2 linked regions of the Saccharomyces cerevisiae S288C genome follow. The main gene of each other region encodes a partner of the protein of the gene in region 2 in a complex. Each region holds a gene or a part of one and is shown on either strand. Other genes may lie near its edges. A codon is read from its position in the direction of its gene.

Evidence for each region. Proteins that work in one complex are often made in the same cells at the same time.
Region 1: the proteins of QCR6 (region 2) and CYT1 are in contact, whole or in part, in a cryo-EM structure (PDB 6HU9), measured with the Saccharomyces cerevisiae proteins. Residues at the interface, in NP_116691.3 of Saccharomyces cerevisiae: Val74 (codon at 798), Thr75 (codon at 795), Asp76 (codon at 792), Gln77 (codon at 789), Leu78 (codon at 786), Glu79 (codon at 783), Arg82 (codon at 774), Tyr98 (codon at 726), Ala102 (codon at 714), Val105 (codon at 705), Gln109 (codon at 693), Glu121 (codon at 657), Asp122 (codon at 654), Cys123 (codon at 651), Val124 (codon at 648), Phe127 (codon at 639), Phe128 (codon at 636), Gln131 (codon at 627), His132 (codon at 624), Asp135 (codon at 615), Thr138 (codon at 606), Ala139 (codon at 603), Leu142 (codon at 594), Phe143 (codon at 591), Leu146 (codon at 582), Lys147 (codon at 579); in NP_014708.1 of Saccharomyces cerevisiae: Ala64 (codon at 1,942), Ala65 (codon at 1,945), Gly68 (codon at 1,954), Leu69 (codon at 1,957), Pro72 (codon at 1,966), Ala73 (codon at 1,969), Tyr74 (codon at 1,972), Ala75 (codon at 1,975), Trp76 (codon at 1,978), Arg92 (codon at 2,026), Phe192 (codon at 2,326), Thr196 (codon at 2,338), Gly197 (codon at 2,341), Pro199 (codon at 2,347), Pro202 (codon at 2,356), Pro203 (codon at 2,359), Ala204 (codon at 2,362), Gly205 (codon at 2,365), Val206 (codon at 2,368), Tyr214 (codon at 2,392), Pro216 (codon at 2,398), Tyr217 (codon at 2,401), Arg227 (codon at 2,431), Asp231 (codon at 2,443), Thr240 (codon at 2,470), Pro241 (codon at 2,473), Thr243 (codon at 2,479), Thr244 (codon at 2,482), Ser245 (codon at 2,485), Gln246 (codon at 2,488).

The regions. Positions count from the first base shown.
Region 1 is NC_001147.6:445,687-448,941, forward strand, and holds CYT1 (ubiquinol--cytochrome-c reductase catalytic subunit CYT1), read left to right. Parts: upstream 1-1,752; coding exon 1,753-2,682; downstream 2,683-3,255. Other genes in the region: 60S ribosomal protein uL3 RPL3, read left to right, coding at 1-163; YNG1 (Yng1p), read right to left, coding at 393-1,052. UniProt on the Saccharomyces cerevisiae protein: Component of the ubiquinol-cytochrome c oxidoreductase, a multisubunit transmembrane complex that is part of the mitochondrial electron transport chain which drives oxidative phosphorylation.
Region 2 is NC_001138.5:223,753-226,649, forward strand, and holds QCR6 (ubiquinol--cytochrome-c reductase subunit 6), read right to left. Parts: upstream 1,018-2,897; coding exon 574-1,017; downstream 1-573. Other genes in the region: MIN10 (Min10p), read right to left, coding at 1-221; phosphate-sensing transcription factor PHO4, read right to left, coding at 1,268-2,206; YFR035C (uncharacterized protein), read right to left, coding at 2,369-2,713; YFR035W-A (uncharacterized protein), read left to right, coding at 2,508-2,798. UniProt on the Saccharomyces cerevisiae protein: Component of the ubiquinol-cytochrome c oxidoreductase, a multisubunit transmembrane complex that is part of the mitochondrial electron transport chain which drives oxidative phosphorylation.

The DNA.
Region 1 (3,255 bases), on a different chromosome or scaffold from region 2:
AATTGTTACTTTGAGAAAGTCTTTGTACACCAACACTTCTAGAAAGGCTTTGGAAGAAGTCAGCTTGAAGTGGATTGACACTGCTTCTAAGTTCGGTAAGGGTAGATTCCAAACCCCAGCTGAAAAGCATGCTTTCATGGGTACTTTGAAGAAGGACTTGTAAGAAGTTTTGTTAGAAAATAAATCATTTTTTAATTGAGCATTCTTATTCCTATTTTATTTAAATAGTTTTATGTATTGTTAGCTACATACAACAGTTTAAATCAAATTTTCTTTTTCCCAAGTCCAAAATGGAGGTTTATTTTGATGACCCGCATGCGATTATGTTTTGAAAGTATAAGACTACATACATGTACATATATTTAAACATGTAAACCCGTCCATTATATTGCTTACTTTCTTCTTTTTTGCCGTTTTGACTTGGACCTCTGGTTTGCTATTTCCTTACAATCTTTGCTACAATACCATTTGCCCTTGGGAGCTTGTTTCAGGCCTACGCAACCATAATGGAACCACTCGAAGGGACAAGCCGGATTATCACAAGCCACCATTGGCCCATAAGATACATTCCTACAGAAACAATAAACCTCCTCTTGATTATTATTACCCTCTGTTACATCACCCTGGTTAATCCCAATTGTGGGGCTAGTTATGCTCTCTTTTCTTTCCCTCGATTTAGCCTTTTTCAAGTTAATCTTTAAAAGCAGTTTTGGCTCCTTATATGCTCCTGGTTCTTCTAACGTCAACTTCGACTTGATATTCTCTAGCGAAGAGTTGAAATTTTTTGTCACTGACTTCTGTATCTCTAGTTCCTTCTTATGCTGCTTTAAGAAATGAATCTGATCATCGACCAGATCATTAATATAAGTCGCTACCAGCAACAGATCCCTACAGGCCCTTTCCATACCAGGCTCATCCTCTTCATTCTTGAATAAGTCGATTGTTTGCATCAGTCGAAGAGATCTTATTAGTTCACATGGTAAATGATCCAAAGTGCTAAGGAAACTGTACCTGATATCCGAATCCGAGTTTTCGTTGGCGAGATGTTCCATTGCTGTAGACGAAAAAAACTTCCTTGTAAAGCGGATGTGCTAGCGCATCATACATTTCAGTTCTATTAAGACTTTCACAGATGCTGTTGTGATGTTCTGTGAGCCAATCCCAAATGTTTGTATAAGGACGGAAATAAGACGGAGCGCCACGTGACTGAAGATTTTTTTTTTCTCGGATTTCTTGGTAATGGGCGGCCGGTATTTCCGGCGGCCAAAAAATGCGAGGATTTGGTTGGTGGAGAGGGTCGAGCGCCTTTACCCTGCGTAGATACTAAGGGGGCTCTTTCTAGTATATAAACAATTTGAATAATAACGAGGTTAGACGTCCAACTGGATCCATAGACTATCTAAGCTTTTAGTAGAGGCCATTCGTTTTCTTATTAATCATCGGTTTCACAATCTTTCTTTGTTAAGCAACATTTTATACATTTTTGTACTTTATCTTCAAATATTAAGGACAAGAAAGAAAAAGAAAAAGAATCCATATTCTATATTAGTGTAACACTATTTTTCTTAAATATTTTTTCCAGTACTCCCCCAGTTTGATAAAAAGCATTCATTGAATTTCCCCACATTTGTGATATCTTCAATTGATTAGTTTGAACTAGTTCTGAAAAATAATATTTTACAATTTGCATTTTCATTACACTATATCATCTACTATTTTTTCTCAGAAGCGGAAGTTATAACTAATTTGACAATGTTTTCAAATCTATCTAAACGTTGGGCTCAAAGGACCCTCTCGAAAAGTTTCTACTCTACCGCAACAGGTGCTGCTAGTAAATCTGGCAAGCTTACTCAAAAGCTCGTTACAGCGGGTGTTGCTGCCGCCGGTATCACCGCATCGACTTTACTCTATGCAGACTCCTTAACTGCCGAAGCTATGACCGCAGCTGAACACGGATTGCACGCCCCAGCATATGCTTGGTCCCACAATGGGCCTTTTGAAACATTTGATCATGCATCCATTAGAAGAGGTTACCAGGTTTACCGTGAAGTTTGTGCCGCCTGCCATTCTCTTGACAGAGTTGCTTGGAGAACTTTGGTTGGTGTTTCTCATACCAACGAAGAGGTTCGTAATATGGCCGAAGAATTTGAATACGATGACGAACCTGATGAACAAGGTAACCCTAAAAAGAGACCAGGTAAGTTGTCCGATTACATCCCTGGCCCATACCCAAACGAACAGGCTGCAAGAGCTGCCAATCAAGGTGCCTTGCCACCTGATCTATCTTTGATCGTGAAAGCTAGACACGGTGGTTGTGACTACATTTTCTCTTTGTTGACCGGTTATCCTGATGAACCTCCTGCTGGTGTGGCTTTACCACCAGGTTCTAATTATAACCCTTACTTCCCAGGTGGTTCCATTGCAATGGCAAGAGTCTTGTTTGATGACATGGTTGAGTACGAAGATGGTACCCCCGCAACGACATCTCAAATGGCAAAGGACGTTACCACCTTTTTAAACTGGTGTGCCGAACCTGAACATGACGAAAGAAAGAGATTGGGTTTGAAAACGGTGATAATCTTATCATCTTTGTATTTGCTATCTATCTGGGTGAAGAAGTTCAAATGGGCCGGTATCAAAACCAGAAAATTCGTTTTCAATCCACCAAAACCAAGAAAGTAGTTGACAAAAAAATGAAAACCACTATTATTTAAATTACGGAAAAAAAAAAACCAATAAACAAAAAACATAATAAAAGAAATGAAAAAAAAGAATATTAGTAGAGCATACTGAATTGTTTTCAGAAAGAGAGTGAAAGGTAACAAAAATTTACCTACTTTTCCTTTTTATTTCTCTGGTTTCGTTTCTTTTTTTTCGGCCACCCTATTTATTTTTTCACTGCTTGTAAACAACGTCTCACTTCAATAGTGTCTCCTTCATGTACTGAGATACTGCTGCAAGCGAAATATCACGAATAATAATATAAAAAAAAAAAAAAAAAAAAAAAAAGATGTTTAAATGTTAACAACCTAACAGCAATAAAAAATAAAAATAAAGGTAGAAGATTGCAAGAAAGAAACTTTACAATATTTTGTTTGGATGCCCAACACCGGCGTCTTGGTGTTCTTCTATAATATTTATTTTATTTATTTTTTATTTATATATGTACATATATATTCCTATTATCTATTAAGAAAGTAAACTTAGTGTAAATCTACCACTGTTCCAAGGCTTTGGCCATCCACCTTCTCTTTC
Region 2 (2,897 bases):
TCATGATAATATAACGTACTTTCTAACTGTATTGTTGTTCCGGGGTTCTTGAATATTGAATGAAAAATGTTATAAAATAATGGGTTGAATCTTGAAATATGCAGTATTGAAATATTCTGAAATTGTATGTATCCAGAGATTATGGCAAAGCCTAAAGGGAAAATGGTAGACTTCCTACATTGAGAATATCGCTGGTTTTCCCGAGCGCGGCTAGCGACCATTTTTCTTTGTCCTTACAGAACTAAAAAAAAAAAACCAAAAAAAAGTCGAAAACAAGAATACATGCGCTGTATGGGTCTAAGAGTATGTACGGATGTAAAAGAAAACAGTACTAGACAGAGCGCATAAAAAAAGCCTAATCCCTTTTCCGTCTGTATACTTGTGCTCCCTTATAAAAAAAATTAAAAATTAAAAAATAAAAATAAGAATAGTGTATAAAATTATTTTTGCTTTGATTTTAGTTTATTTATTTACTTTCTAAATACAGTAGGTTAAATAAGGATCGGTTTCTTGAAGAAATTGTAACAAGACTCAGAATAAATATGAATATAGGGAATATGACGGATAAACAGACTACTTTAATTTGTCAAATAATCTAGGTGCCGTGGCAGTGTCCAAATAGTGCTGTAGATGGAAAAACTCCTCCACACAGTCCTCCTTGTGTTCAAGATCCGCGTAGCCGGGTTGTTGTTGCTGTATCTTGACTCTCTCAGCACACTCCTCGTAGTGGTGCACAAGGGCCTTACCCTCCTCCGTGTTCTTGAAATGTTCTCTCAAATCTTCCAACTGATCAGTGACTTCTTCCTCTTCTTCCTCATCTTCGTCGTCATCATCATCATCATCTTCGTCTTCGTCTTCATCCTCATCTTCATCCCCATTTTCTTCTTCTTTTTCTTCTCCTTCTGCTGCCTTTTCTTCATGCTGCTCGTTATCGTCATCTTCGGCCGCGGCCACAACAGGCACAACGGTTATCTTTAGTTGTTCCCAGTACTCACCAACTAGTTCCAACATGCCCATTTTCTATTTCTTTTTCTTTATCCGTGTGTGTAGGTGTAAGTGTATATGTGTGCTTCTGTTAATGTGAGTGCGTGTATACAATATGTGCAAATAAGCGCCAACCAATACTGCCCTTAAGACTGAGTAGGTCCTAATCTCGAAAACCCGGTGTGGGCCACTTTCCAGCAAAGCGCCTCTTATAACAAGCACCGCGCAGGGGAGGCGCGCCCCAGTCCGATATGCCCGGAACGTGCTTCCCATTGGTGCACGGTCACGTGCTCACGTTCTGCTGTAGGTGACGGATGTACCGGCAGGCCGCCTCCACGGTGGTCGCTTTGGACGGCGCGGCCGACACATTTTGCTGTTTCCACTCCGCGGGGATTAAAGACGCCAGTTCGTGCAGCGCGACCGCTAATCGATTACGCCGTGCTTGCTCTGCATGCTTGTGTGATTCGCGCTTGTCATCGTCCACGAGCGCGCCCGATGACCGTCGCTTACTCAGCGACCGCGAATGGCTCGATCCGTGCGGCGCGATTACAGGAGACTCACTTGCTACGACCACGCCTTCTGCGCTGCTGCTGGTCTTGGCCGTGACCGGTGATACGCGTCTTGTGCTGTTCGACGGCAGAATAACTTTCGGATATTGCTTTGGTTTCGGTTTCGGTTTCGGAGTTGGGATAACGCTGTCGGGCAATTCGAACAGCGAAGTGGCCGAATCCGGCCCGGGTTTACCTCTGCGCTTGTTCAAATACGGACTACTATTACTCTTGTTTTTAGTGACTTTGTTAGCGGATGTGGTGGAAGTAGCAGTAGCGACCAAGTTCGGCGAAATGGTTACGGGAACCGCACTTTGCGTGTGTATTAGCGGCGAATATAATAGCCGCGGCTTGATTGTAGCAGTTGTAGCTGGGGAGTGGTGCGCATGCGAGGGCATCATCCAGTCCATATCCATACCTTCCACCAGCTCAAAGGCGCGGTCTAGGTCGTCCAACGCGAGACTGTCTTGTTCATTTTCATTCTCGTTCCCATTCTCACTGCTGTTGTGGTTCTCTTGACTGTTCAGCTCGTCGTTTTGCTCGTTGAAGTCCTCGCGCCCATCATGCCGTTTCGTGTTTACGGTGATAAAGTCTCCGACTTTATCAAGAATGCTGCTCTTGGGCTCTAGATCGTCCACAAAACCGTGTATTCCCTCAGAAGTTGTACGGCCCATGACTTTCTGCTACTCTTGTTCTGTCTCCTTTGCTCATCTCTTCTCTTCTGGTCCTTCCGAAGCATGACTTCTTCCCTGGTTATATACATTTTTCTATGGTCAAGACTCATTTGCCAAATATTTCCGTGCGAGCGGCCGGGTCAGCCTTTCGCCTACCACATATTAGGCGAGGCAAAAAAAAAAAAAAATAGAAAACGAGAAAATCGCACTTGCAGCATAGGAAATACTTGCACACAGACATACACATACACACCGTACGCAAAGAAGGCAAGGCAGCAAGAAAAACTGTGGGAACGTAGAAATGAACGTACCTACGGCGCCAACTCCCAACAAACATTTGAACATACCTGATTTGAGGTTCGAGAAAGTGTTCAAGAAAGCTTTACACAGGGAATTGGCACCCTCATCGTCTCTCTCACGGAAGGCGGGTGTGATTACGAAAGTTGTGGTTCGCGATGTCCTGCTCATGCCCTTATTGCAGAGCTTTGTTTTGTCACTCGCGCTCATGGGTGTGAAGGAATGGTTGTCTTACATACGCTTGAAAGGACGAACCCTAGGTGACCGCATTAGACAGAGACTTTTTCCGATCTAAATAATGCATATAACCGTATCTTTTTTATATGAACCTAGTTTTGCTGTATAAGAGCCGAGAAAAAAATATAGGAAAATATAGGAAAATATGCAAAATAGA